6 linked regions of the Xenopus tropicalis genome follow. The protein of the gene in region 1 purifies or fractionates together with the protein of each later gene. This does not show direct contact. Links are inferred from orthologs where the notes say so. Each region holds a gene or a part of one and is shown in the gene's direction. Other genes may lie near its edges. The genes, in order: cops8, dcaf1, cul4a, ddb2, cul2 and cul4b.

The links.
Region 2: the proteins of cops8 (region 1) and dcaf1 purify together in Homo sapiens (affinity purification with mass spectrometry; 4 studies listed by BioGRID and IntAct, counting the BioPlex papers as one, with this or other methods). This does not show direct contact. The link is inferred for Xenopus tropicalis from reciprocal best matches to the Homo sapiens genes COPS8 and DCAF1.
Region 3: the proteins of cops8 (region 1) and cul4a purify together in Homo sapiens (affinity purification with mass spectrometry; 10 studies listed by BioGRID and IntAct, counting the BioPlex papers as one, with this or other methods). This does not show direct contact. The link is inferred for Xenopus tropicalis from reciprocal best matches to the Homo sapiens genes COPS8 and CUL4A.
Region 4: the proteins of cops8 (region 1) and ddb2 purify together in Homo sapiens (affinity purification with mass spectrometry; 6 studies listed by BioGRID and IntAct, counting the BioPlex papers as one, with this or other methods). This does not show direct contact. The link is inferred for Xenopus tropicalis from reciprocal best matches to the Homo sapiens genes COPS8 and DDB2.
Region 5: the proteins of cops8 (region 1) and cul2 purify together in Homo sapiens (affinity purification with mass spectrometry; 4 studies listed by BioGRID and IntAct, counting the BioPlex papers as one, with this or other methods). This does not show direct contact. The link is inferred for Xenopus tropicalis from reciprocal best matches to the Homo sapiens genes COPS8 and CUL2.
Region 6: the proteins of cops8 (region 1) and cul4b purify together in Homo sapiens (affinity purification with mass spectrometry; 7 studies listed by BioGRID and IntAct, counting the BioPlex papers as one, with this or other methods). This does not show direct contact. The link is inferred for Xenopus tropicalis from reciprocal best matches to the Homo sapiens genes COPS8 and CUL4B.

The regions. Positions count from the first base shown.
Region 1 is NC_030685.2:50,662,703-50,667,962, forward strand, and holds the start of cops8 (COP9 signalosome complex subunit 8), read left to right. Parts: upstream 1-2,119; 5' UTR 2,120-2,160; coding exon 2,161-2,238; intron 2,239-2,404; coding exon 2,405-2,475; intron 2,476-3,843; coding exon 3,844-3,892; intron 3,893-4,538; coding exon 4,539-4,671; intron 4,672-5,260. UniProt on the Homo sapiens protein: Component of the COP9 signalosome complex (CSN), a complex involved in various cellular and developmental processes.
Region 2 is NC_030680.2:127,299,727-127,305,274, forward strand, and holds the start of dcaf1 (DDB1- and CUL4-associated factor 1), read left to right. Parts: upstream 1-1,810; 5' UTR 1,811-2,153; intron 2,154-5,548. UniProt on the Homo sapiens protein: Acts both as a substrate recognition component of E3 ubiquitin-protein ligase complexes and as an atypical serine/threonine-protein kinase, playing key roles in various processes such as cell cycle, telomerase regulation and histone modification.
Region 3 is NC_030678.2:116,003,358-116,008,153, reverse strand, and holds part of cul4a (cullin-4A), read left to right. Parts: intron 1-1,044; coding exon 1,045-1,158; intron 1,159-1,995; coding exon 1,996-2,101; intron 2,102-3,391; coding exon 3,392-3,564; intron 3,565-4,796. UniProt on the Homo sapiens protein: Core component of multiple cullin-RING-based E3 ubiquitin-protein ligase complexes which mediate the ubiquitination of target proteins. As a scaffold protein may contribute to catalysis through positioning of the substrate and the ubiquitin-conjugating enzyme.
Region 4 is NC_030680.2:15,447,257-15,451,288, forward strand, and holds part of ddb2 (DNA damage-binding protein 2), read left to right. Parts: intron 1-35; coding exon 36-228; intron 229-325; coding exon 326-426; intron 427-839; coding exon 840-1,028; intron 1,029-1,104; coding exon 1,105-1,250; intron 1,251-1,782; coding exon 1,783-1,882; intron 1,883-2,026; coding exon 2,027-2,204; intron 2,205-2,283; coding exon 2,284-2,429; intron 2,430-3,581; coding exon 3,582-3,746; intron 3,747-4,032.
Region 5 is NC_030682.2:21,664,452-21,669,247, forward strand, and holds part of cul2 (cullin-2), read left to right. Parts: intron 1-471; coding exon 472-568; intron 569-1,106; coding exon 1,107-1,217; intron 1,218-2,231; coding exon 2,232-2,394; intron 2,395-3,166; coding exon 3,167-3,291; intron 3,292-4,141; coding exon 4,142-4,249; intron 4,250-4,796.
Region 6 is NC_030684.2:46,090,835-46,096,209, reverse strand, and holds the start of cul4b (cullin-4B), read left to right. Parts: upstream 1-1,734; 5' UTR 1,735-1,926; coding exon 1,927-2,338; intron 2,339-5,375.

The DNA.
Region 1 (5,260 bases):
CCTTGTCAGGGCTGTATTTATGTCCGGTGCTTCCCTAGGTGCTGGACCTCAGCCCTTCACCTTCTCCTGATGATTGGCGCATGTCTTCTGGGAATCCCCTTTTTTAGGATTCGGCTGAATCGTTCATAAAGGATTATGCAGAGTCTGAGCCCTAATTTGCATACACAAAGGAACCAATATGCCAATGAGCTGTTCTTCAGGTGTTATTGGCTATCTTCTTGCCCAGTAGAAGACCTCACTTCTAAGGGCTGTGACAGATGGGAAGGTTAGTCACAACAAATTTCCTAATCTCCCCAAAATGCCATCCCACCAGCGATAATGTAAATCGCCGATGGGATGGCATACGCGGCTCCACAATTTGCTGAAGTCGCAGAAGTTTCCTCTCAAGGCAACTTCTGCAAATCGCGGCACCGAGTATGCCATCTCACCGGTGATTTACATTCTCGCCGGTGGGATGGCATTTTGGGGAGATTTGTTGCGCAGTGACTAATCTCCCCATGTGTCACAGCCCTAAAGCAGCCATAGGAGAGCTTTCTATAGTTAAGTACTGTGAAATCACATGGTTTTCCAAGGACCTGATATGTGTATGCATCTGGATGCACATCCACATATAAATGTCTTCCACAAATGGAATTAGGTGATCTCTCCATGGTGTGGCTGGGCTAGTGCAGTTTTCTGCTAACAGGAGCTCCAGCCTAGGGTATCAGTTATATCACTATTTGCCTTTAAGAGGGGCCTGGATGAGTTTTTGAACAAGCAGAATATCCAAGGCTATTGTGATACTAATATCTACAGTTAGTATTACTGGTTGTATATATATAGTTTATGTATGTGAGTGTATAGATTGGTTAGTATAGGTTGTGTGCTGGGTTTACTCGGATGGGTTGAACTTGATGGACAATGGTCTTTTTTCAACCCTATGTAACTATGTAACTATTTAACATTTGAAACTCCCCAGTGATTTCAGCTTTCCTTCTTTAACCCTTTCATGGCCAGCCATTTTGGTCAAAGCAGAACTTGTATTGCCAGTCAGTTTTTGAACATTTGCATGGTTTCACTTAGGGGCCTTTCCTCTGGGGGACTTTTAGTTTACCCAGGAAAACAATATATATTGTTTTTGGGTTTTTTCAGGACAACCCAAACTTTCAAATTATGGTAGAATTTTTGTGTAATTCCAATTCTGAAACAAGATATAGGCTTCTAAATGTCCCTAACCTGAGCCCTAAATGCACAAACATACCTAGGGGTGACACATGCTGCCTCACTTTCCCACAGTCAGGTATACAACTAGGGACACAAACACTACAAAATGCCTTACTTACACACCTCCAAACCACCCCATCCATAACTAGAGACCTCACCTGCTGCCACAACCCACTATGTGATAGATATGTCTAGTTTCCCTACACACTGCTCTAGAGTCAAATGCCCCCCACAGACATAAACCTAGTACAGCTCATCTAATTTCATCACACACTGTTCCTCCCACACTAGGACTAACCCAATCTCCCCTCAAAGTTCTGGGTAAAAAAAACAAAACCTTAAAAATGCACCCTAGCAAAACAGCACCAAGAAAATTAACAACCCCCCCCCCCCCCCCCCAAAAAACACAGACTAAGCACACAAACCTTCCCCCCACAAAAAACAGCCACCCCCCCCCCCCCCCCAAATGATCTACCACAAAAACATCAGCACACTCCAAAACTCCTCTCCATAGCTCAAAATCGTGCAGCACATCAACCCAAGGTCACACAAAAAAATTCAACAACCACCCTCCACATATAAGCAGGCTCCAGTAACCCCCTAATATTAAGACACTTACAGAGACAAACAAATTCGTAATAGATCCACAGCCTTACTGAACAGAAAGTGCCCCAGTATTCAGGCAAGAACTTAATAAACTCCTGCATTTAATCCTGTCCCAATAAATAAATAATGCTACCCAGACTCTAATAGAGAACTCCTCCTCCATGGAATCCCCAAGTAAGCACTGAGAACCGCACTCACGTAAAATCTATATATCCAGCCATTTGAAGAATGCGCCGAACGTTACGTGCTGGAGACGTCACCGCGTCTTCACGTGTTCGTGACGTCACTTGCGGCCATTAGCCACTGGGAACTTGCAGCGACCCTAAGAGGTCCCGGGGGCCCTGGGAGAAGATGCCAGTGGCCGTGATGGCTCAAAATCCTGTGTCTTTTCAGAGGCTTCAGGAACAGTGCGAGGAACAGGAGCTTGAGGTACTCGGTTTTATTCCTAGCTGCCTGGCGTGGGGCGGAGTGTGACAGTGGGATAGGGAGATGTGTCATTATAAGGCGCTTCAGTAGGAAACCATGCTATGTTGTCTTTTCTATTAGAATCTTTGTCATCGTCACCTTCTTTCTAACCCAGAGATGTGTCTTCCAGGCTCCAGGAGGCATTGCCAACCCTCAGGTGTACAGCCAGCTCTTGGCATTGTACTTGCTGCATAATGACATGTAAGTTTCTCCTGTTTCTTTCACTTGTTTTCTATCTCTTCTCTGCCTGACACAATTACTATGGACACCTCAGGGCTATTCCTGACAACCTAAAGGCCATAGACCTCTGTGCCCCATTGGCATAGTATCCAGCTGTTCATTGAATGGCTCTTTATACAGCTGAATACAATTTAAAGGAGCAGTAATGCCCAAAAAGTAAAAGGGTCGCTGAATGTCCCCTTGCAGCTTGTCATTATAATGAAGTCCCCTGTCATTTCATTCCCAGTGAAGCTAAGCTCCATGTGCTGTAGGTATTACCCTGCATGGCAAAAATAGTTTACTTTGGAAACACTACACGTTATATAAATAAGTCATGTTTTCCTGATCGTGACATCAGACATCAAAAGTAGCAAACTTTTTTTTACCACCAGTACAACGTGCTGCATACTTTTGTGTGTGCAGCCCCTTGGAATCGTTTCCTTACATTATGTGATTTCTGCATTGCCATTACAGGAGTATTCATGAGGTGGAGGTGTAGCTACAAATTATTAATAAACATTACTGGACCATTGTTCCTATATATAAAGGTGTCCTTGCTTGCTACCAGTTGATTGGCTGGCAGTTTGACAGGTGTCGCATGGTTTTGGCTAGTCACGCCTCCTCTAATAGGGCTGATTGAATTGCATCTTTGACTGGTATAATTTGTCCTTTGATTGGTCAGTGTTCCATGCATTGGTTGTAAAGTTTGAAATGGTGAAGCAATCTCACTCAATATTTAAATTGACTTTAGTGTCCATAGCAATAGGAAGAGAATGCTGATCATGCAAATGTGTACTCACTGGTAGTAGGTACTTTCTAATAGAAATTTAATTTAATACAATTTATGTTTATTGAAAGGTATATGTGTAACTATTGCTTCTCCCAGCCCCATCTGCTAGGTTTAATCTAGTTGACAGATATCAATGAACGGGGTTGACCATAAATCATATTCTCCCTAGTACTGCTTTATTTGGCTACAATGTATTTATTGTATTTATCTTCACAATAAGAACAGTATTGGGCAAATTTTATTAAATTACATTTTATTCTACAGAGTGTTTCATGAATCATGTGTTTATTCCTAGTCCTAGGAAGGGAGGGTATAGTATTGTGGAGTAAAACACCCAGATTTGCATTAAAATGCGGTAATCTTGTTTTTTTTTGTTTTTTTTTTTATGTAAGATCCATTATATGGCCAAGTGACAGAAGGAATAAGCAACAAACTAGTCGTAATAGTGCTTGTACACCTGTAAAACTATGTGAACATATTCATGAATAAAAGTGTCAGTTTTTAATTATGAAATAATTTAAAATACTTTTTACATTTTTGGTGCTTTTTCTCTTTATTAGGAATAATGCACGTTATTTATGGAAAAGAATTCCGCCAGCAATCAAATCCGTAAGTAATGTCATGTGATTTGCTTGACGTGACTTGCTGTTATGAGCGTATTAGCTTAGTTTCTACTACTACTATTACTACTACAAAACCCTATTAGGTTCTGAATGGTTGTGAATACATGGCTCATTGAATGCTTATTGCAGCCTTAGCTGGCCCACCTCTTTACTAAACCTTTTTTTATTTCTTTGGGTGCTCCTGAAGTACAATAATTGAGGGTATAAATGCTTTTTAAGTAATCCTTTGGCAGGTTATAATGTTAAAACTGTCTGACATGATGTGTATATGCTAATTTTCACTTTGCTCTTTGTTAACATGGTATCCAGTGTGTACATCCCTGAAATTCAAAAATATTCCAATAATTTAAATACTTTTGCATTTTGTAATATAAGGATCTCAGTTTTGCATAGAGTAAAGGTAAGGAAAATTAAAATTGTCCTGTTTTGAGTTTACAGAGAATCTTTGTGAAATGGGCATGTTTTCCTTCCCCCAGACTTAATTGTGCTTACTTTTAAAGGATAGTGGCACTGGTTTAAAAATCATTTCAAGGTCATCCCCAGGACTAGTGCTAAACAATGTATCTTATAGGATTGTTTCCACTTTTAAAAAAAAAAAGTACTTTATGCATTTAATTGTGGTTCCCCTACAGGCCCACTCTGAGCTTGGTGGGATCTGGGAGGTAGGACAGAAGATCTGGCAGCGAGATTTTCCAGGGATCTACACATCCATCTCTGCATGTCAGTGGTCTGAGGCCATCCAACCAGTCATGGAGGCTGTAAGAGGTATAACCCCCTTAACAGCTAGGTGTGCTCTAATCAGACTCCTTGCACATTAACTTCTGATTGGTTAATATGGAGTAAATTGGTAAAATTCTAATTATTGATGGCGGCTGTAAAAACAACTTAAAAATATCACAAAAATTTGTTGCTGTCAGCAATGTTACCTTACAAAATTTTCTAAAGTAGGTATCCCAAGCTTTATTACAGATTCAAGAAAATTCTTGAAAGAAAATGCAAGAAATTCTTGAGTCATTTCATCAGTATGTATCTGCTGGCACCCATACTAAAGATGCTGCTTACAGGATATTGTTGTGTGTTTCAAAGCTTCCCAATTCTGTGTTCCTGCACCCTTCCATGCCACATCCTTCTCTCACTCCTCCAATGCTCTGTTGAGTTTCTGTAGAGACTGTTTTGATTCAGAGGCTTGCATGGGTTACTGGAGAGCACTGGATACAACATGGAGAAAAATTAATGTACTTCTCCTTTTAAAGGAAAAGTGCATATTGACTTTTAGGGGCACATTCATCACAGTAAAATGTTCCCACTCTCTATTAATTCTTCTGACATTTTGAGTAGCATATTTATCATCAAA
Region 2 (5,548 bases), on another chromosome or scaffold:
AGATTGCAGGTCTGGGTCTACTGGGCACTAAGCAAGTGATGAGCCCAGCAGTTTTGCTCTTTAACATCTACCCCACACAACATTTCAGCTTGATCTTCCTGACATTGATGCATTTGATTACACACAGAACCCAAGAGGAATTTTTTTAAAGGAACGGTTCAGCATAAAACTTAGTAAAATAGCTGTGTAAAATAAAAAAAATATTTCAAATATAGTTGGGCAAAAATGTTATCTATAAAGGCTGGAGTTTGGAGAGTGGAGATGGCTAAGGGCAAAGACAGACGGGAGATTAGTCACTGCAATTTTGAAAAAATCCGATCGTGGAAATATGCGGTGTGGGACAAACTGCTATTGTTCTTGTTCTTAAAATGGCTGTGACTTATCGCCCTGTCTGTCTTTGGGAGGGCCACATAGAACATAACTGTTCACTTAGTTTACTTTTGATCCTTATCAGGGAGGATAGATTTAAAAGCAAAGAAAAGTAGTGTTCTGGCTATGTTAGACATCTGCTCACTCCAGCCTTTATACATGCACATTTTTGGTTAACTATATTGAAAATATTTTTTTATTTTGCAAAGCCTACTTACCGAGTTTCATTTTTACAGTGAACCATTTCTTTAATGACCCCAGGTGGCAACCCTATTTCACCCCAATTACATATTATGCAGTCATAAAGCAGTGGCCCCAATCACATACTATCAGGGGTGCAACTGCATTGAGCAGAGTGGAAAAACTCACCTCAGGTGAAACGCGGGGGGTGGCAATAAGCCTCCTGGTAATTACTGGAAATTTGATTTATAAGAAGCAGGGCCGCTGCTGGCCAAATGGGTCACTAAGCAGAAATGTACTTTTGTGCCCCCTCCCCCAAATATTACGGAAGTAAAAATAAAATAATAAAAAAAAACACCTACTATAGGGGCCCCACACACAGTGCCCCCATAGACAATGCCCCCATAGTAAGTGCCCCCATAGATTGATTAAACTATCTGGGACAGCGGGATGCGCTATAAAAACCGGCGGGACAGTGTTGGGGGGTATGTTATAATATATAGAAATGTTTTTTTGAACAGCTGGGATGGTGCCCCCCTGGGAGTTGGTGCCCTATGCAGACTGAGTACTCTGCTTATAAGGAGCGGCGGCCCTGATAAGAAGAAATTCTGTCTCATCTAGTGCAGAGTTCTATTGCGCTCTCTGCGCTAGCAATACGGCCCCCCCAACTAAAAAAAACAGCGTGAAGAGGAGGGTGACTTCCCCAGGGCTGCACTAGGGACTGAAAAGCCCCTGCATATTATGCATTAGCCCCAAAGTAGCCCCCGGCATTTCATGTACACAGAGACCCAAACAGCCCCCCCCAGCCCAATAAATAGTGACTGTCTATGGCACCTTACAGCAGCCCCTCTGGCATTTGCCTGAACCCACAGATTGCCAGCCCAGGCCTACTAAGTCCCAACAAGAGATGACACAGTGGTACCAATATTAGTAAAGACGCCCCTACCAATCGCTTTTTGATACAGTGGCCCCAACAATTAATGCCATAGTGACCCCAAGTCTCAAAGGGTTGTTTGAAATTTTAGGGAGTAGGGAGTAAGTTCGTGTGCGGTAGAAGGAAGAGACAAGAGGTGTATTGTGGCAATGAGAAAGCCTGACAGGCAGAAAAAGAGAAAATGTGACAGCTGTATGAGGGCGGGGGCGCTGGGGAGACGAACCAGCGAAGGGAAAGTCATAAAGGGGAGACCTTGGAGAGAGGCGTGAGGGGGTGGAGCTAATAAGATATGTTGGCGCTGTTTTTGCTCGTCGTAGAACGTCCTAAACTGGCCGCCGTAGTTTCTTTGTAAACTACACTACCCATAATGCCACTCCGCTCTGTAGAAGAGGGAAAAGCGAGCGCGCAAGGTGGTGACGTGTAAAGTGAGCGCCGCCCAAGCGGCTGTAGTGAGGGGAGAACGTGAGAGCCAGGGACAGGAGGCGAAACGTAGGGGCCGGAGTGGGGGACAGCGCTGCAGGGAAGCAAGGAGCGAAACGAGGGAGAGGCCGAGAGGGACGGGCACGGAAGGACAAAGAAAGGGACCCTGAGTGCAGGACGCGAGTGAGAAGGACTCGGGACACCGACTGGTACAGAGTCGGGGAGAACAACCGACATACCGGTTACAGAAGTAAGTGGATATTTGGCGGATACATGCCTTATCAGAGAGGGGAGGCCTGACGCGGGGGCTGAGGTGCAGCAGGAGTGGGGCAGCGGCAGCCGCCGGGTCTGTGCGGGGAACTGCTCGGGCGCCAAGTGGTGACAGTGACAGCTAACGGGGCTGGCAGCACGGCCGGTCCTGTGTGGGGAAACTTTTTCCCTCAGGAGGCCCAAGTATAGAAGGGAGTTTCGAACGTTAGACTGTCACTGTAAGCAGCTACATACACATGTTCTGTAACTAACTTCTGCTACATTGGTTTAACAATCGCTAACAGTAGCGCAAAAAGGAACAGACAGTTGCAGGTTTCTATGGCAACTGATAGAAGTATTTAAATGTCTGTATGATTTGTTGCTTAGAATTGCAATTTCTTTCCTTAAGAAACATTGTCTATTTGGGTTTACATCCCATTTATTAACTCTTTGCTATTGTGACAAGGCCATTTTTGAGTTTGGGGATCCCATTTTTGTTCTGACTTATAGGTTAAGGAACCTTACACTGTACTGCAGCCAGAAGCCCTCTGGCATTTGGTGACCTGTAACTTGCATCCCACCTAAGGGATCCTGACAGTCGGAGTCAACCATGGAAGACTCATCGGCAGGGCAGCTATGAACTCCATTCATTTTTTTATTTACATGGGGGCCACTTGATCTCTAGTTCCTTCTCTGGGCATAGGTGGGCTTTGAATAGACAAGCCAGTAAGATGAAAAGCAATGGTGCTGGGAAAAGCTAGAAAGGTAAACAATCCAGGTATGAAGATATGTAGATGGGGATGTCCATCTGCTGTTGTGACCTGCAGCTCCCTGGGGCATGTTGGTAAAATGTAGTCGGGCAGATGGCAAGGATACATTTTGATATTGCTGGTTCCGAATAATAATGGTGAAGAAGGGAAATCCTTAACTTGTGGCTTTTATAATGAATGAGTTATGTTTTTGAATGACTTCTAGGGATGCCAGGTGCTGTAATTTAACAAAAGTTATTGTGGGCTTAGCTGCTTATGAGGATTGTAGCTCAGCAACAGTATGAGAACAGCGCAGCACTCTTTCAAACTCAACAGCCATTTCACTCCACTTTGCTTTGGAGGGGGGGGGGGCAGTGTGGTTTCCTTGGGCTAATGCACCCTGAGCACCCACGAGCTGGATTGTCAGTCTGTGTCACACAGGCAGATGCAGTGCTTCTGGGTGCAGGCACAGTTAGAATAGTTTTCAAGCCTACTGACGGATTGTCTGTGGGGCCTTACCCTAAGGGCTGGTATGATGAGCCTATTAATGATTTGACAGGGACACAATACTCTCTATAATATACAACTAAAAAACTCAAGGATGCAGTTTGTGTGATGAACAGTATATGCAACATCTATCAGAACACTGGTGCAAGACCAGAAAGGGAGCATTTAAAGGACAACTAAACCCTAAAAATGAATAAGGCTAGAAATGCATTTTATATAATAAACTGACTGCACTAGCTAAAACTTTCAGCATCTCTATAGTTGTAATGATACAGGTCTTTACAGTTGTCACGGGAGCTCCCCATCTTGGATTCTGTCTGGGATAGTGCACATGCTCAGTGGCCTCTGAGAAGCCAAGATTAGGGGTTGTCACAAATTATCAAGCAGAAAATGAGACTGGCCTGTCATATAAACTGATGCTACAGGGCTGATGATAAAATCCTGATGCTAATTGCACTGGTTTCAGAGCTTCCATGTTATGTGAATCTGAATGAATTACTTATCATTTATATTCTATATATACAGTATATAGTGAGTGGGCCCCTAAGCTCAGTAAATGAAAGCAGCACAGAACATGTGCAGGGAATCGGCAGAAAAGAAGATGGGGGGGCTACTGGGGGCATCTTTGGGGGCACAGATCTTCCATACTAAAGGGCTGTGGTTGCCGTGAAAAAAATGCATAACATTTCTAGCCTATTTCTTAAGTTTGGCTTTAGTGCTACTTTAAAGGAGAAGGAAAGTCATTTTGGCATTTTACTGCCAATACATTCACCACATTAGTGCCACCTATAACAATATATTTATTCTGAAAAAAGCATTACCGTACCGAGTAAAGAGCCCTAGAAACTCCCTCCGTTTGGCTGCTTGGGTAGCAGGAGAAGGGAGAGAGCTGTGAAGACTCCCAGGAATGATGAATTTTTCTGAGAGAGGAAGTCAGATACCAAAGTACATGTATACACAAATGAAGACAAGAAATCCTGTGTTTCTTTTGATAGAGGACTCAGTGCAGCTTTTCTGTGAGTGCTTATGGCTGTATTTACATAGACCTTGCTGATAAAGCTTACTTAGTTTTTGCCTTTCCTTCTCCTTTAAGGAGTCTGAGTTTTCTCAAAATGTGCTTAGGGGAGCTCTCTCTTTAACCAGTCTTTAGTTCCCCTTTAATTGGTAGATTTAATTTGGCCATGTTGGCACTGGAAGTCTTTTAATAGCTTAGAAGAGCGGGTATCCTGAACAGCTTACTGAGAAGTATTTAAACATAAGTACTCAACTGGTCAGCAAAATTTTGCTTATGAGATTGTCTTTCTCCCAAGCCAATGATCTGATCATACTGCAGGCCTATGGTGCCTCATTTGCACATCAGCCTGGTCCTCTTACCCAGTGGGATTTTCTAACATACCCAATACATATGTGTCCAATTTTCAGCCACAGTCTTTAATCAGGCTGTATATGGCCAGCTTTACCTGCCATTATCTAATCATCTGCCTCTTCACACCAGGACATTCCACTCTGAACCAAGGATTCAGGGTTCGGCCAAATACGAAAATAGTGGATTCAATGCATCCCTTGAAGGGACTTCAGAAAATGCTGATTTCAGTTGCAATTATATTTACAAATACCTTTAAAACCAATGTACATTTAACACCCACGGAAGAGCTTAGAATTACATTTTCACCTTCATAACGTAAAAATGTTATGTGTAGCTTTAAAAACACCTATAAACAGACTGATCATGGTATGGCTATTGGCTGTGAGATTTTTTTACTACCGTATTAAATTGCTCTTATTATTAAGTGCCTTGTGCACAAAATCCATTTACTAATAATAGGGGGAATCGGAAATGCAGCATATTAATGTATATTAACTAGATTTAATAGGTGTGTTATATTGTGCTTATATGTGCTTATATTAAAGAATAATGCAACTTTTTGTTTAAAAAAAAAAACCTAAAACAGCCCCAGATTGAAATACCTCTCTCCTTACATTACGTATGTCTTTTCTAACACCGAAGCTTGAAACCGCAGCTCAGATGAGTAACCTCCTTATTTAGCTTCACACTCTGCCCCCTTTATTATGCTGGAATACTAAAGGGGTGGAGCTTCACGCCCCTAAAGGGGCTGGTCTAAGCTGCAGTCTTCAGCTT
Region 3 (4,796 bases), on another chromosome or scaffold:
CTGGCTTTAAAACTTCAATGCGTGATTTTGGAAGCCTTCCGTTGGACTCAATAGCACTCTACAGCTCCAACCTGGCCAAAAGATAGTCACGACACCAAAGCTTGAATGAATTCAGATACGGTCGTAGTCTTTGCGAAAAAATACGACTTTTTCGTGGAAGTTAAAGTAAATCACGAAAAAGTCATGTCATTTTGACACTATTATCGTGGTTATTGTGAAAAGTTCTATAAATTTGAAAAAATATGATTTTTTCTGATAAAAAAAAAAATAGTGCTTTAATGAATGGGCCCCCTTATTCTTAACCAGTGGATCAGCCCATAGGCCAAACAGTTGGATATTCATGTGCAGGGCTGTGGAGTCGGAGTCGGAGGCAATTTTGGGGACTTGGAGTCGGAGTCGGCAAAAAATTAACCGACTCCGACTCCTACTAAATTTAAATGGGAATAAAAAAAATAAATAAAGCGAGTTTAAATGTCCCAATTCATAATTAATTACTTCTCTGCTATAAGAATAAAGCCCAATGCACGCAGTGCATAAACGAACACATTGAGTGACCATGAAGCATGCTTTTCATTGACTGTATGAATGTATAAATACATTAGCATATTAAAAACAGAGGAGTCGGAGTCTGAGTCGAAGTATCAGAAACTGAGGAGTTGGAGTCGGAGAATTTATCTACCGACTCCACAGCCCTGTTCATGTGGGAAGTGAAAAAGCACTGTTCTGCCTGTTCAGCTGACAAGCCAAATGTTTTGATCCTCATCTGCCACTTCTGACCACCCATCAAGAACAACTTATAATGAAAATTTGGACAGACAGACAGCTTTTATATTGAACTGCAGAGTGGTCTCTAATCTAAACTGCACATACTAGGTGTCAAATATATCCAGACATTCAAACAATATTTATGTTGGCATTTATCACCTGATAGAGTGCAGCTTGTTGTATCTATGATCTTGCCACCTTGTGGTGTTTCATTTATTTCTCTGGTGATTATTTATTTTCTTTTGCATTGTTTTATACAAGTATCTTCTCAATTTTCAGATGGTGAAACTTCAGGAAATATTTAAAACATTTTATTTAGGAAAACATAGTGGCAGAAGACTACAGTGGCAGTCAACACTTGGGCATGCAGTTCTGAAAGCAGATTTTAAAGAAGTAAGTTCTCTAAAATTATTTGGAATTTTGGTCATAGAGAGTACTCACTATTGAGTACTGTTGAAAGAGAAAGCACAGAACATCAAGACCAACTATTTACCATGTACCGTGCCTTTAAAAGTTGCTTTTCCTACTGCTTTACTGAAATGTTTCCAAAAACCTAGCTTGTTCCAGTCACCTGCTTCCCCAGGCTGTGCTGTAGGATCCTAGCCAGTCGTCAGCTTTGCAATGTAGGATCCCAGCCACAGGTGCTTTTATAGAGGTGGAGAAAAGCGAATTCGCTCTTATGTACACAACCCCATAGCTCCACTGACAGGCCTGGCATTGGCCTGTGTGGAGCTACACAGATCGCATATTGGCATAAAAACACAAACGTATGTATTTTTACTCTGATATCCGTTCTTTGTAGCTCCAGGCAGGCTGATACTGGGCCTGGTATTAGAGCTATGGGGGTGTGCGAATGAGAGCGGATCTGCTTTTCTCTGCCTTTATAAAAACCAGCTGTGGAGGAAAGCCAACAATCCACAATGTGTGCCACCTGCCTTAAGAAGCACAGTTAGAAGGTCCACTTGGACGAGATTTTGGGTGACCACTATTGTCTATTGATACAGCCGTATTGACATTTCCATAACCTTGCATGGGCTAAGTCCTTATCCAGTGTTGGGTCTAGGTGGTTGTCCCAAACCAATAAAGCCTGTAAACCACTGTAATACAGCATGGGCCACAGATAACTTCCTTTTTCAACAGCTTTGCAATAAAAATATATTTCAGCATAAATGTGCTAAACATTTCCCTTCCTTCCAAATCTTGACACTTTTGTTTTTAAATTACTTTTAGGAGAAAAAAGAACTGCAAGTGTCTCTCTTTCAGACCTTGGTGCTTCTCTTGTTTAATAAGGGAGATGAATTTGGCTTTGAAGAAATTAAAATAACAACTGGAATTGGTGAGAACTTTGACAGAGATCAGTATTTGTATACTTAATAATAATCGCCTCCCTCTGGCATATAAGAGACTGCAAAGCCTCCAGAACTGTTGGGGATGGGGGGCTTGAGAGCTGCCCTCCAGTTTTTGCTTCATGATGTATGTTTAACCATAACCTGGGCCCACCTTCTATTTCTAGTCAGGGTCGGACTGGGGGGTGAAGGGCCCACTGTGCTCCCGCCCCAGTGGCCCTGCAGGTGTCCCCGCCGGCCGCGTCCCCTAAGTCTCCCCCCCCCGCAGCGCCCCCCACCCGACGTCCGCCCCCGAGCACGCGTAATTTAACGCATCGGGAGGAGCTGTCGGGCAGAGGGAGCGCAGCAAGGGTCGGGTCTGGGCTGCCGGGGCCCACTAGAGCCGGGGCCCAGTCCGACCCTGTTTCTAGTTGGTACCAACTATAGAAGGACTCAGTCTGCTGTTTGTGGTGGCATCATGATACTGTGATCAATTTTAGGGCTGAGAAGCTAGGGAATTTAACAATATGTTAAAAAAAAAAAAAAAAAAAAAAAAGTATGTTCTCCTTGTTTAAAGTGAAAGTGTCAAAAGCAGGTAGAGTAGGCACACAAATCCTTTGCCTTGTCCTACCTATATTCCCACGTCAAAATATATGGATGTTGTAATCCGCACATTTAGCATGTCTGCTGCCATATCTAATTTAGTTTTCTGGAATGTGAATTGAAAAAGATAGGGCAGAATCAAGCTAAATCACAAAACACGGGGCTGCAGATGAGGGCATGATAGTAGCAATAGCAGTAATAACAATTTCTGAAGCAGTATATAAATTAAGGGGGAAGAGGGTGGAAAAACAATTTTCTCACTTCTACTTAAAGTTCTGCTTCTGAGCAAAACTGTAAGAAGAGGTGAGAAAATAGTTCTTCCACCCTCTCTTTAAAAGTCACAGATAAAAGTTCAGATATTTCTTTTAACTTCACTGTCATGCCCTTTTTTTACACTTCTCGTATATAGCCATTAACAAAGTAATGTCCCTTTCATGTACACAATATCTTTAAAATATGACCACACAAGATCATACATTTTCACTTTTATGCTGTGCCTTGACTATTCTTACTTTGCAATCATCAGGTGGTCTGGGAGCATAAATGTAACACAGAAACATAGTGTATCTTGCTAATCTGGATGGTACTCACAAATTAGAATGTATAGTTTATTTACCACTCTTTAGGAGAAAAGAACCCAGACTTTCATAATTTTAAATACAATTATTAATTACAATGCTCTGTCTTGTCCTAACCAGAGGATAATGAACTGAGACGAACGCTGCAGTCCCTTGCATGTGGTAAAGCCAGAGTTTTAAATAAATCACCAAAGAGCAAAGATGTGGAGGATGGAGACAGGTTTTGCTTTAATGCCGACTTCAAGCACAAACTATACAGAATTAAAATCAACCAAATACAAATGAAAGAAACTGTAAGTATCTCTTATAAGATCTATCTCAGGGCTGTCCAACTGGCCCCCTCTGTGTTGCCCCCCCACCTGTCTAGCTGCTTTGATGATTTACCTTTGTGGAAGCTTTAAATGGTATCAGTACTGAGATTAAATGGCCCCCTGCATGGTTCACACCTCATATTCAGGCTGTAATCCCCCTGTATTGTTTAAATATGTAATCTCCTGTACTGTTCACACCTTTTAATCCTTGCATTGTTCACCCCCTGCATCTGTTCACACCTCAGACAGACTGTAGGAGCAGTGCAAGCATTGTGTCAGTGTATGCTGTCTGTGTGTGCCATACACACAGGCAGCATAGGGCAGAGATAGTATGGCACACATAGGCAGGGTAGGGCAGACAGAGTATGTGCCATACTCTGCCTGCTCTATGCTGTCCGTGTGTCCCATACTCTGTCTGCCCTATGCTGCTTATGTGCCATACTCTGTCTGCCCTACCCTGCCTGTGTGTGCCATACTCTGCCTGCCCTATGCTGCCTGTGGGAGGTGAACCTGGCAGGGGTTTGTTCTGGGAGTTTGATAGCATTTAAAAATAGTCATTATATGGTCCCTAAAATTTGTAATTATATGCTGGGGGTTGCTGTGCTATCCACAGGGGAAGAGGAGGCATAAGAATTTAAGGTTGTGTCTTAATATGGCATAATATAATTCTTTCACATATGAATGAAGGCTGATATCCCTACAGTGAGCACCAACCATTTGGGGTTTTGCTGCGCTATCACCATTAATGTGGGTATAGTCTTAAAAGCTATGTGATAACATGGGTGTGATTTTAAGTGGGTGTGGTTTTAAAAGGGGGAGTGGTCAAACTGGCTTCCATTATCGTCCCTCTACCGTGTTGGCCAGAAAAATTCTGGCCCTCGGTACCACAGAAGTTGGACAGCGCTGATCTATCTATTTATGCTATTATCCACTGGCGCTACACTGTGGAGAATGTTTAAGAAATGTTTTAGTTCACTTGCACAACTAATGGCTGCTGCAATATCTCTCAGACCCACAACATGATTTTCCACAGCAAAGAAAATGTTATTTGTTGATTGAGTTTTCAAATAAACATTTAGTAACTTTAAAAAGCTATTAACACAGCGAATTCTATGCATGCCTACCTTGATAGGATCATTATAGAACCAGTGAAATGATCAAATCATAAACCATTATCTGTCTGTGTAAAGGCACCTTAAAGGGTAACACACCCC
Region 4 (4,032 bases), on another chromosome or scaffold:
CCCAAAGCATTGGTAGTTCTCATTTGCCCTTACAGATGCCCCCCAAAAGAGCAACACGTGGGAGGAGGAATGTGGAGCTGTCTTCAGAGGAGGAAGAGGAGCAGGAAGAAGTTTCCCCAGGAAAAAGGAAACGGGACATAGAGAAAAATGGTGAAGCCAGGCTCAAGAAACCCTCTAAGAAGAGAAGCGGGCAGCAGTGTGCCTCAGATGTACCATGCAGCAGTAAAGGTAATTACCCTGTTATTGAACCTATTGTGCATGGGGGGGGGCTGCTTCATGTGCCCGATGTTCTAACTAAATAACTTTCTTGCCCCCCCCCCCACAGAGTCCGACTGTGGTACAAACCTCACTAACAAAGGAGACAAGCAGAGAAGCATCGTGCACTACCTGTATCGCAGCACTCTGGGGGGCAATGTCCGGGCAAAGGTAAGGTGCACACACCCATGCACAAAGTGGCTTTTAAGGGCAATAGCACTCTCTTGCCACCCCTTCCATTTCCAACTTGGCTGGCAGCAAAAATGTCCCTTCCTAGGCTTTGATTGTAATGCATTTTATTGCCTGCAAACATTTCCAAACTTAAACCCACAATACGCTTTATATTAAATTGCACCCCTCATATTTAGGGCAGTGGCAAATTGAAGCTGCTCCATGTTTGGTCCTTGCAAGGCAGATCATTAGATTAGTGCATTGATAATTCCCTGGCTAACAAAGCTATCATAACAAAGGGTGAAGGGAATAGGGTTTGCATACTGCTAATTAAATATTTTCTTTGCAAGGACTAAAAATGGAGGAGCTTCAGGTTGGTTTAATTATTAATGCATTCACCTATTTCTTTTCAGTACCTGCAAACCCCTTTTCTCCGGTCCCTGGCTTCATACATATTATATCGGACCAACAGCCCCTTTGATCGCAGAGTTACCACTCTTGAGTGGCACCCTACGCACCCGAATACAGTGGCGGTGGGATCAAAAGGAGGAGACATCATTCTGTGGGACTATGAAGAGCTCAATAACACCCTCATTCCTGGGGTGAGTCCAGTTCTTCTCGCCCCGCTGGATCCCTCTCGCACATGGCTACAACTTTGCTGTGTTTTTATCCTTGCAGATTGGAGCCGGGGGGTGCATCACCGGAATGAAGTTCGACCCGTTTAACCCTAATCAGTTGTACACCTCATCAGTGGCGGGTAGCACCGTGCTACAGGACTTCTCTGGGCGCAATATTCAGACATTCACCAACACTGAGGACTGGGCGTAAGCGAGATGGCTCTGTGGGGTAGGCGGGAGTACTGACCCTCAGTGGGGGCGGAATTATTGCTTAATTGGCTGTAGTGTCCTGGTACCCAAGGGCTTTCCCTCTGAAGCTACCACCCAAGGGGCTTGGGTTCCTATATAGAAAATACGATCCTTGCTAGAAATAGTGGTGAGCATAATGTGCCATTGCCCTTTTTAAATGTGATTACTAGCTGCTGCAGATAGGGTGAGCTGAACCCCCCCCTCATGCACAGTATGGCACATATAATTATCTAGTATACAGGCTCCTGACTGGTTGATCCTGTATGCATAGATAATTAAGTCGCCAGTCCAAAGAAAGGAAGCAGGATACACTGTAAAACTGTTTACTTCCCATTTAACATGGAATATCATCATTTTCACAAAAATAAATATTCTTTTTATATCTGTTAATGGCCCATTCCAAACCTGGCACATGGATATAACTAGGGGTGCTTACATGCAGTTTTGGGGCTTTTGGCCTTTGGTTTAACTGCCACTGGTTCTTCCATAGGATGTGGTACTGCAGCCTCGATGTTTCCGCTGAAAGGCAGTGTGTGGTCACGGGGGATAATGTAGGCAACGTGGTCCTCCTGGAGACCTGTGGGAAGGAGGTGGGTATTGTCCAGCCCTGGACTTCCTGTTTTTAGATTGTAAGCTCTTTGGGGCAGAGACCTTATTCCAACCCTATACTGATCATGGTGAATGAAAGTGGTCCCTTGGCACGGGAGACTGACCCTTGGCACCTTTATTCTCAGATCTGGAAGTTACGGCTTCACAAAAAGAAAGTGACGCATGTAGAGTTTAACCCTCGCTGTGATTGGCTGCTGGCGTCCGCTTCTGTGGATCAGACCGTGAAGCTGTGGGACCTGCGCAATATCAAAGACAAGTCCAGCTACCTGTACACATTGCCTCATGCACGTGGCGTCAACTCTGGTAAGCGCTGTTCCCTACACCCGGTATCCTGACAGGTAATCGTGGCCATTTGTGACTCATGGTGGTCTCTCTATTGCAGCTTATTTTAGCCCCTGGGATGGGGCAAAGCTACTCACTACCGATCAGCACAGTGAGATCCGTGTCTATTCTGCGTGTGATTGGGCCAAACCGCAGCACATAATACCTCATCCACACCGGCAATTCCAACATTTGACTGCAATTAAGGTATATAAAGCTATATAAATATAGCATTCATCTATAAAATATCCTAAAGTACAGCACTTAAATATGTCAGTTGTACTGTGAAATGTAAGGATCCTGGCCCGCAGGGAGATTAGTCGGCCGCAGGTGGGAAAAACAGGTGGGAAAAACAGGGCACTTTGTTTCTCTTAAGTCACCCAGAGTTGCCTGGCAAGGAAACTATGGGGAATGGCAAAGCATAGCGAAGATTTATCGCAGTTGACTAATATCCCCAAGTGCCAGTACCCCAAGGATATTCGTCTTGCTCCATATAGCTTGTAGCCTAATCACTTTACATGCTTCCTCCTCAGTTATTTCTAATATCCTTATAATTTACAGTAGGGGGTACATGTTCACTGTATAACTCAGCCTGCAGCCTTGTGCCTTTATATGGTCACAGAGCCCCTCAGTGACTGCTAATATCCTTATCATTTACAGTAGGGGGTACATTATCCCTTATAATACATGAGTGATACTCAGAGTTCCCTGTATAACTCAGCCTGCAGCCTTGTGCCTTTATATGGGCACAGAACCCCTCAGTGACTTCTAATATCCTTATCATTTACAGTAGGGGGTACATTATCCCTTATAATACATGAGTGGTACTCAGAGTTCCCTGTATAACTCAGCCTGCAGCCTTGTGCCTTTATATGGGGGGCACAGAACCCCTCAGTGACTGCTAATATCCTTATCATTTACAGTAGGGGGTACATGTTCACTGTATAACTCAGCCTGCAGCCTTGTGCATTTATATGGGCACAGAACCCCTCAGTGACTGCTAATATCCTTATCATTTACAGTAGGGGGTACATTATCCCTTATAATACATGAGTGATACTCAGAGTTCCCTGTATAACTCAGCCTGCAGCCTTGTGCCTTTATATGGGCACAGAACCCCCTCAATGACTTCTAATATCCTTGTCATTTACAGTAGGGGGTACATTTATCCTTCTTCATACATGATACAAAAAGTACCCTGAAGGAGTCTCTTTGCATGTTCCTGCAGTAAACAGACATTTTGTTCTAATAACCTGGTGTGGGTTTACGGGTGCCTGCCCTTTCTGTTTGCCAAGTTGCTCAGAATCAGGTAGTCCTTTACTTGCCTTTAATGTATTTTTTTTTTTTTTTAAATTTCAGGCCACGTGGCATCCTCGCTATGATTTAATAGTTGTTGGCCGATACCCAGACCCGCTCTTTCCAGGCTATATGTCAGATGAGCTTCGGACGGTAGATGTGTTTGATGGACAGAAAGGGAATATTGTATGCCAGCTGTATGACCCTTATGCTTCTGGTATTGTTTCGGTAAGGGTCCCACTTCTTCCATATTGGGCTCTTCATGGAAAGTGTCCACTTCTTTACCTTTAGAGGTCTCTTAGAAAGCCCTGATTGATAGGGGAACCTGGCAGTGTGGGAAGTACATCAGAAGAACATTGCCTACATTCGGTCTGTGTGAATGTTCATGTGACACACGCATTTCCCCCCAGGCCACCATGCTCCGCTTATTTAACTGGAAGGTTCTAGGTTAGACCTCTTTGAGTTTCGTAATCTCTGCACCAGGTGATCTCAGCCTTCCTACATTGCCATAGGT
Region 5 (4,796 bases), on another chromosome or scaffold:
ATGACTCCTTCTGCTCTCGGTCCCATTAGTGATGAGTAGGTACCGCGGGGCTGGGGGTGGCTGTGGGGGACTTTTACCTTTTCATGCTGCAATCGTTTTGGTAAAACTGACACGTTCCTATTGATTATCATAGGAATGTGTCAGTATTCCTTTTAGACTAATCATTAATTAATTCAGATTCTCATTACATGGCAGCTCTAAAACCAGTGCAATTAGCATTTAATAATCAACCCTGCTGCAATAGCTTCTACTTCAGGCAAATGTAATTTTCTGCTTTATGATTTGAGTTACACCACTGACCATTACTGTTACAGAGATTTGGAGCCATTATGATGCTGCAGGATGTTCAGTATACTTCATTTCTGACCATTATCGGTTTTAGGGTTTAGTTCTCCTTTCATGGGAAATTCTAGAATATTAAGTTTTGTTTTAGTTTGCCATCACTGATCATTATTTATTTTTATTTTTTAGGGATCGATGTGGGGAAGACCCAAATCAGAAAGTAATCCATGGGGTTATTAACTCCTTTGTTCATGTTGAACAGTATAAGAAAAAATTTCCCTTAAAGGTACCAGTGTCATTATAAAGATTTGGCCTTCTGTGTTGGATAGTTAAGATTTTGCTTGTGTTTTAAGGCAGCTTACATGATAGGATTTTGTACAAACAGATGACCGATTAAGGACAAATTATAAAATAATATAATTATTGTTAAACAGATGGGGAATTGGCAATTGTAGTTTTAAGATTGGTCTGACAATACATATAGGATCTTTTAAACAATACCACAATGATACCACACAGTGCTTTTATTGTGGGCGGATGAATCATGCAGTGGTTGTGCATGTGACTGGGTGAAAGTGAAGCTTTGGTATTGCCTGTGTAACTGTGTGGCTGTATGTGTGTAAGTGGAACTATATCTGGTGCCTCCACAATGATGCAATGTTGCTTGTGCTTGTATAAGTGAATGATATTTTCTGTGTGCCTAATGGGGCAGCTACATTTTGCTCTTGCCTGTGTAGATGTGTGCAATTGTGGCCATAAAGACGCTGCTTACACCGCCTATTGAAAACATTCTTGCGTTATCAACATACTGTGCTTTATTACAGTTTTATCAAGAAATATTTGAGTTGCCTTTTCTGGCTGAAACAGGGGAGTATTATAAACAAGAAGCTTCAAATTTATTACAAGAGTCAAACTGCTCACAATATATGGAAAAGGTAAAGAAAAGTAACAGCCTATGTATTTTTATTGTGGATTTATTAAAATGTATATTATGCTTTCTGTACAATTTATAGGAATTAGTAAGGTTTACCTTACAACTCTGGAACAAAACCATAACAGTAATGGGAGTTAAAACCAATGTAATATTTGGTCAGAGTATTCTTTTGCTCAGAAAACCATAGCAGCCAACCAGATGTTTATTATTATTCAAGCCACAGTATGAATGTAAAAGTTAATTGCTGTTTTGTTGTTATAATTTAATGGAGTGGGGCAAAATTAAAAAAATAATATACTGTTTACATGCACTGGCAAAAGTTGTATGCTTGTCTTAGAAGCACTACTATAGCTTATAATATAATAAAGCTGTGTAGCCATGTGGGCATCCATTCAAGTTGAAATAGGGCTAAATGGCCCTTTTATATTTTGCTGTTACAGGTATAGGACCTGTTATCCAGAATGCTCAGAACTTGGGATATCTTTATATGATTTGGACCTCTATATTTTAAGTCTGCTAAAAATTAGTTTAAACATTAAATAAATTCAATAGGATTGTTTTGCCCCCAATAAAGATTAATTATATCTTAGTTGGGATCAAGTACAGAGAAAAAGGAATTCAGTTTTAAAATTTTGAATTATTTAATTAAGATGGAATCTATAGGAGATGGCTTTTTCCGTAATTTGTACTAATTTGTAATGCATCCCATACCTGTACTGGTCCTTTAAGTACATTGGGCAGCCTTTTTTTTTGTGTGTAAAGGGGAAATTATGGAATATTTAAACTTCTATTAAGTGGAGTGGGAAAACTATAGGGGTTGGTCTTGATCCCAGGGGCAGCAAGTACAAGAGCGATATCAGTTTACAGGTGTCATTGTCCCATTATAACAGCTTTTTCTAAGGAGACTCAGATTAAGTTGCAGAACCCAAACATGAATTTTAAAGCAATCACGTACCTTGTTTTTAATACGTTTTTAAAGATTTCTTGCACATTATTATTTATTATTTACGTGCAGATTTTAGGTAGATTAAAAGATGAAGAGATTCGATGTCGAAAGTATTTACACCCCAGTTCATATAATAAAGTGATTCATGAATGCCAGCAGAGAATGGTGGCAGACCACTTGCAGTTTCTACACGCAGAATGTCACAATATCATCAGACAAGAAAGGAGAAGCGGTAAGCACTGAGCAGTTATTTTTTCTTTTGTTTTAGGTGAAACCATTTTCAGTTTCTCAGCCTTTTAGCCATCATCATAATATATGCTTTGGTTGAGAACTGTATTATCAAAGTGGCTTATTATGATGTTGCTAAGCTTAGGTCAGAAATGGAAAGTCTTTTATTCAGCAGGGGTAGTGTTGATAAGCTAATACTTCTCTTTTAAAGAACAGTAACTCCAAAAAAATTGTGTTTTAAAGTGATTATAATTAACTTTTGCCTTGCACTGGTATTTTTGCTTTAGAAACACTAATATAGTTTTTTTTATAAATAATCTCTGTAGCAATGAGGGAGGCTATTCAAAGGAAACAAAAGGCTCAGATTACATAGCAGATAAGTTCTGTAGAATATAATGGTGTTCTACAGGGCTCATCTTTTATCCGCTATTTAAATCTGTGCCATTTAACGCTATTTAATTTTTAGGTCCCTGTATCAAACAGCTGGGGTGCCCTAGTCCTAACGGGAAATTTTAAAATTTCCTGTAATTCTTTCAAACTTACCTTATTGTATTTACTTTACTCCTTGTGTCCTGCAGCCTCCTTGAATGGCAAGATATATTGTGCTCTATATTGAATGTTGAAAAGTGGGCTTTAATTTAAGGGGATTATAAATATTTTAGTATTTTAGTGTAACAATGCCACAGAGTAAAATTAGTTTAAAAAACTGTTTAAATGTTAACTCGTGATTGTTACAGTTATCACTTTGTGTCACATTATTTTCTGTGGCATTGCAGATATGGCCAACATGTACACTCTTCTCCGTGCTGTATCCAATGGTTTACCTCATATGATTCAGGAACTCCAAAACCATATCCACGATGAAGGCCTTAGAGCTATTAGTAATCTTTCTCAGGAAAACGTGAGTAACCATGAAGCCCTTGATAGCCGCATAAATACTAAATGAGCAGTAGGGATAAAATATGAAGGAGCAGAGCCACGGGCTATAGCCTGCACCAATTGTTTGCTGCTACTTGTACAGGCAGGCATAACGCCCTGTGTGCCATAGACCATAGATGCAGAGCTCCCTGAAAGAGGGAAAAGGAAGGAAACGAGGAAATTACTTCCCTGCCTGACATCTTTAAATCTGCCACACTCATCATTGGATCAGACAGTTGAAAGATATGAACATGTGGCCAAATTCCCCAAATTATCATTTTAAAAACTAATGCGAAACAAAGAGTTAATCTGGCCATATTATACCATAGTCCAAATAAAAAAAAAAGGGTTTGGATTTTAAAGGAATATATCTGTTTATGTACTTTATCTTTAAGTAGCAATAAGAATGAAAATGCCCAAGTACACAAAAGGCCAGCACCACAGAGTGCCACATGCTTCCTGACAAAGAAACTTAAAGAAAATGGCTAATTCATACCGATGAAACATGAAATGAAATGAATTATGGGGAAGTTTTATTTAATCTTTTACATGCCAGCTGGGTTTTATTTATTACATGGTATATTATTAAGACTATTTCCCATTAGAATGTGATTGCTCCAAACTGTGCACAATGAATGTTCCCTCTTTTTCAAATGGCCTTGGGTCAGTATGTCACTAAGTACAGGGAACACTAGCCAGTGCTAATCTCAGATCATTTGTAGTTGCCATTCATGAATTTTTGTATTTTTATAATTCATTTAAATGTTTTAAGTTTTTTTTTTCTTGTAGTTCTCTTTGTGTTTTTTTATAAATGTTCCCTTTTTATCTTTCAGATGCCAACTCAATTTGTGGAGTCAGTCTTAGAAGTTCACAGTAAATTTGTTCAGCTTGTCAACTCTGTATTGAATGGTGATCAGCACTTTATGAGTGCACTAGACAAGGTACAGTAATCAATAGGTCCTGATCATGACCCTATACCACCTTGCACAAACAAATACAGAAATATAATGGGGCTTAACATTTTTACATTTCAGACCCCCACCCCCTACTGTTTAAATGATTTCCCTGCTGTGTCACTACCAAGTCCCATGTCCATACCTACTATTTTAAATGCAAAGTTTCACACTGGTTTTAATAACTTCACATCCGGTGTCTTTCCCCCTGGTGGCAACCTCTGACAAAAGATTTAAAGGCTTTTAGCGCACATGATTTTGTTCAGAGGTGACCGTCAGGGTCTAACCCTGATGCAAGAGAGGTAAGAGTGGCTCTGAACTTACAAACAGTGGCAGTGATGTGGTTGGGGAGGGGGACCTGTGCAGGGCCCTAAACTGGTGGTGGGGTATTAGGGATGGTGTCAGACCAAGAGACCACAACATATAAATAGGATGTACAGGTATGGGATCTGTTATACACAGAAAGCTCCTATAGACTCCAATTTCAGGAAATAATTCTAATTTTAAAAAATGATTTCCCTTTTCTCTGTAATAA
Region 6 (5,375 bases), on another chromosome or scaffold:
ATGTAGAGCTTATTGTCATCTATATCAATTGGTAACTTCTCATACAGCATACTTGTGTGTTAGCTCTTGTGAAATTTTGTAGCCCAGTTTGAAGTAGGCAGGGCTATAAGCTACCAGTAGCCAAAATTATTATTATTAACATTTATTTATAAAGCGCCAACATATTCCGCAGCGCTGTACAATAAGTGGGTTTCATACATTGGACATACAGAGTAACATATAAAGCAATCAATAACGGATACAAGAGGTGAAGAGGGCCCTGCCCAAAAGAGCTTACAATCTACAATGAGCATTAAAGTATACACAAGGCTCTTTAAGTTACCTGAAGGGGCTTTTTGCCGCCTCCAGTAACTTGCCAGGCAATACAGCCTAATGTGAGTTTCTCAACTCGCCTCATGGCAGCAACGCCCGTGAGTTCTACAAACACCTAGCTTCAACATTATTTGGGTATATATAGTTTATATTTGTAAGTGTATAGATTGGTCTATATAGGTATGTGTATTTTTGTGCACTGGGGTTTTTAGAGATGTTGAACTTGATAGGCTTTGGGCTTTTGTCAACCCAAATTAGTTATTTAGTTATATGTAACATCTCTATTAAGCTTTACCAGATGATTCATAAGTGCTTTATGCAGTGACCAGTGCTTGCATATCTGTTAAAAAAAAAAAACAATTGAATAGGGTCAAGTGCTGAAACTAAGTATGAGCATACACCTTTTGGTGTGCTTAACATGTGTTGTTTTTGCTGGTGTTATAACTTGTATGCAGGCTCACAAGCACATAGAGAACCCAGAATAGCTGCTTTATAAAAAAAAAACACATTCAGCCATTGCTTTCAGTCAGAATCTGGTATACAGCTGCGTAATCCAATGGGAAGCCTTACTCTCCCAGAGATTATTATATCACCCAAATTGACCACTTTGTATGATATAAGTTTATTTTAATCTGGCACTTAAATGAATAGTGGGGTTAATATATGTACTTTTCATCCCTGCTATACACGCCATTATACATTGCTTTCAGACACAAACTTCATGTTTGACGCTTACTGAGTAGTAGTACTGAGTAGTTACTGAGGAGCTTCCACAAGGAACTCATTTTAAGCGGGAAGCGTCACACGCAACTACTGGCGCTCTCCTTTATGTAACTATTCTAAGCCTCTCCGGCCCCCACGCTGCTGAACAGGCGGTACCATGTGGAGGCATCAGGGGGAAATGTCACCCAAACCAAGCTGATTATTGGTCCTTATTCCCTTTAGGCGTCACTACAGAGGCGGGAATATTCAACCCTCGACTCCTCCCCCTCGAGTAGTTTCCAGCCTCAGCCCCTTCCTTCCCCTTGTCGGGACTCCTCGCCGGCACCAACCTAAGGCGGAAGCTCGGCGAGGAGAAAGGGGACGGATGAGGCCCGCACGGTCGGGCATTATGAAAGACCTCATCGCTAGTCCTTCCGGTCAGTCAAAACAAGGTACGAAGGTTGCCATGACATCACAGTAGAATAAAAAGGGGAGGGGAGAGAGGGAACACAGCCAGCCTTTCGCGCTATAGTTAATGCAGTAAGCGCTACCCCTTTGGTTTTGATAGTTTGGCAGCAGCTGGCGTCAAAGGCTCCCTGACTGTCCCGGCTGGGAAGGGGTGTGGGCTCACGGCAGCCTCCTGGGGAACTCTTCCCAACATGCACTGCGAGAGGAAGTGAGGCCATCTTTGGTTCCCTGCTCTTGTGACAATAAACAAGAAAAAGAGTGGGGATATCCGGAGAGCGGGGCCGGGGCCTTCACCGAGCAGAACTAAAGCAGAGTGCCTGCCGAGGGGGCCACTGGGAAGCGCTAACCAAAGGGCCACGTTAGCTGTTTGTTGCGGTCCCCACACGATCCAGCGGTCACACACAGTCTGGGCTGCCTTGAATCTTTTCTATTTGTGGTGTTTTCATGTTTCCCACAGGCTTATCAACCCCCAACCCCCCGGCGCAGGAGGTAAGGACTGAGGGAAACAGCACCTCCAAAAAGAGAAGGTTGAATATCAGCAGCAGCGATAAGGACGATTTGGACCCCCTGTCGCCCCCCAGAAACTCCTCTTCCTCCTCTAACCACATCCAAAAGAAGCTGCGTTTTGAAGACACTTTGGACTTTCTAGGACTCGATGTGAAGATGGCCGAGGAGTCTCCTTCTTCTTCCTGCTCATCCTCCTCTACTCCCCAGGCAGTGAGGAGTAAAAACCTGCTCATCTCCCCAGTGGGCGTTGGGCATCATGCCAATGGCCTCACAAAAGCCTCACCCGTGTCCAGTTTTGCCAACAGCAAGCCTGGCTCAGCCAAGAAGTTAGTCATCAAGAACTTTAAAGGTAAAGAGGGATGGCACCATTCAATCAGCTCTTTGATAGGTCACTTCAGGGAGTGTAATACTTTGACCAGAATGTGCTTAAGGACCAGGTGATTACAAGGGTGCTCTGGTCAAAATAAAATCTCCTTTAATTTGGAATTCAGAAACTAGCATGCTGTCTTGTGTCACCCAGTAGTTTGGGGCAAACGTTTGCCTGTTTGGTTTTTTCATGATGGTAAAATTACAGTTTCCTTTTGGCGTTATTTTATTATGGTTGAATCTATCTGGAATGGCAGTTTTGACTTCTAAGGGCTTGTGTATTGATGCACTCCTAACCAGCATAAAGCCAAAGTGTTTTAAGCTGGTAATGCTTGATTCTTTCTATAGGGATCCGCAATATTTTGGAGCACTTAGGGGATTTGATGCTTGTTACAAGCATTCCTGTTTGACCCAACCAGATCTGTGTGTCAATACTAAGAGCGCTACAGTTAAGGGATATCTTCAATGCAAAGGCAATCTTTTCTATTAAAAAAAAAATCTTTGTCACAACCGATCTAAGCTGCAGTGTCAATATTCCTGTGGGACTCATTGGCCAAAGCCATTTTTTTTTTTTTTTTTAGTATCTCATGGGACCAGTGCCAAAACACTGAAAATCTTTCTTCAATGTCCACTTCCAGAATAATTTGAAAGTGAACACTGTTTATTTTAGGCATTTGTCTACACACAACACACAAATCATGCTGGTGTTAGTGAAGCAACATTCAGGACTAAACTACACGGGAGCTTTTGTAGGATGGTTTCAGATCAACAGAAAGCATCCTTGCCCTTAGGGCTCTGGCACACGGGGAGATTAGTCGCCCGCGACTAATCTCCCTGAAATGCCATCCCACCTGTGTCTCGGGCATACGGGGTGGCGCGATTTCAATGAAATCGCGCAGGTTTCCTCTCGAGGCAACTTGCGCAATTTCACTGAAATCACGCCGCCAGCGATTTACATTTTCGCAGGTGGGATGGCAATCTGGGGAGATTAGTCGACCGCGAACAGGGAGTTTTGTTGTGGGCGACTAATTTCCCCATGTGCCAGAGCCCTTAGACAATCTGCTAAATAACTGTTAAGGTGATAACTGCAACACTTTACACAGATTTGTGAGGCTATTCACCATTTACTAACATGGCTAATCAGAATCAGGTCAGGCTGGTTCATTTTGGGCCCACACAGAAGTGTGTTTGTTGACATTTGCAAACAGATTGTTTAGTGGTATCAATGTGGCTTCTGGCCCTGATCTCTTTAGGGCTCTGGCACATGGGGAGATTAGTTGCCCGCGACAAATCTCCCTGTTCGCGGGCGACTAATTTCCCCGAAATGCCATCCCACCGGCGAAAATGTAAATCGGGATGGCGCGATTTCAGTGAAATCACGGATGTTTCCTCAAGGCAATTTCCGCGATTTCACTGAAATTGCCCTGCCGCATATGCCATCCCACTGGCGATTTACATTTTCGGGGAGATTAGTCGCCCGCGAACAGGGAGATTTGTCGCGGGCGACTAATCTCCCCGTGTGCCAGAGGCCTTAGTGCAAAGTGGGGGAATTTAATAATTTCTAAGAAATTTCTATCAGTTATTGGTGCATGAGCATTATGCAAACTGCAATGCATGTGCACCAGTTGCTAAGTGGGGGGGGGGTAAACTAGGCTGGTGCCTAGGATGGCACATGACCAATATACAGCCCTGGGTATGCCCATAATAAATTTATATATAAAGGTTTAGCTGATGCAGCTAAAATAAGGTAGAAACTCAGGAAATTGTGCTGTTAGTTTGCCTTTAAAAAGTAGTAATTGTATGTAAAAAAAAAAAATTACTCTGTTTTGGCAAAAGACCTTACCAGCCTCTTCATTTTTTTGTACAACTGGTATTAAGTGCTTGTGATTTTTTCTGATATACTAATAGTACAACTAATCCTATATCAAACAGACACAATGCACACCTAAATTGTAGTACTGTTTCATATACAGGCTTGAAGTAGAAATGAAGGAATTCTCGGCAAAAGAACTTGTCTGCTCATACAGTATAAAGGAGCATTGCCACATTTATTGGTAAACGGTGATACAAAGAGCAACAATACACTGTTTACTGTTTACAAAGGAGTATTATGTATGTCTATGTATTTGCAGTGGCAAACCTCTGCAGCACCAAGGGATACTTGCGTTTTTTTTTCTGGCTTTTTATAGAGTGGTTGTTTTTTTATTCTGGGGTAATGGGAAAAAAATGTATTAAGTACACCTGTCAATGCCATTGAGACACTTCTGTAACTGACTAGGAAGCATCTTCATTCCTTGGGAGGCTACTGTCCCTATGACCTGCAAGGCAGATATGTTAGGACACACACAGGCAGCTGTTTAGCTTGCTAAGGGTGTCAGAAGTAACATGCTGTGGGATCATCTGCAACACAACCCTTTCTCTCTGAGTTCTAGTAACAGGTGAAACCTACTCAATCTCCACTACTTACTAGGACCACAGGTGGCTCTGCTGTGACATTGGCTTTATTTAAATTCTGCCTATAACAGCCAGTTATTAATTATGCCTGCAGCTATACTCAGCACTTAAAAACATTGCAGTTGTGTTTTTGCCAAGCTGTGAATTGCTAAGAATTATTTAGTAGCACCCACGTGAGTTGGAGCGGACATAATTACCTGCAGATCACAGCTAGTATCAGCCAGCAAAAGTGTACCTGTGTGTATAATCCTCTATAAAACAGTACTTGGTGTTATCGAGACTGAGCTTGCCCATGAAACTAATCCATCCTTTTTTTTTTTTTTTTTTTTTTTTTTTAACATATTTGGAATGTTGATGCCTGAAGCAGAAACTAATTCTAACTTCAACTGCAGCTAAAAAAAAACTGAACTGGAAAACTGCTCTCTAGGTGCTGTGAAATAAATTACTTTTTGCTTCAGTCGCCAGGTCTCTGTACAGGGTAAGAAGATGTTACACATGATGTGTTGCTGCTGTAAATTTCCCATGTGAAGTTGCTCAAAGTTCCACAGGTTACCTTGCATTTCAAA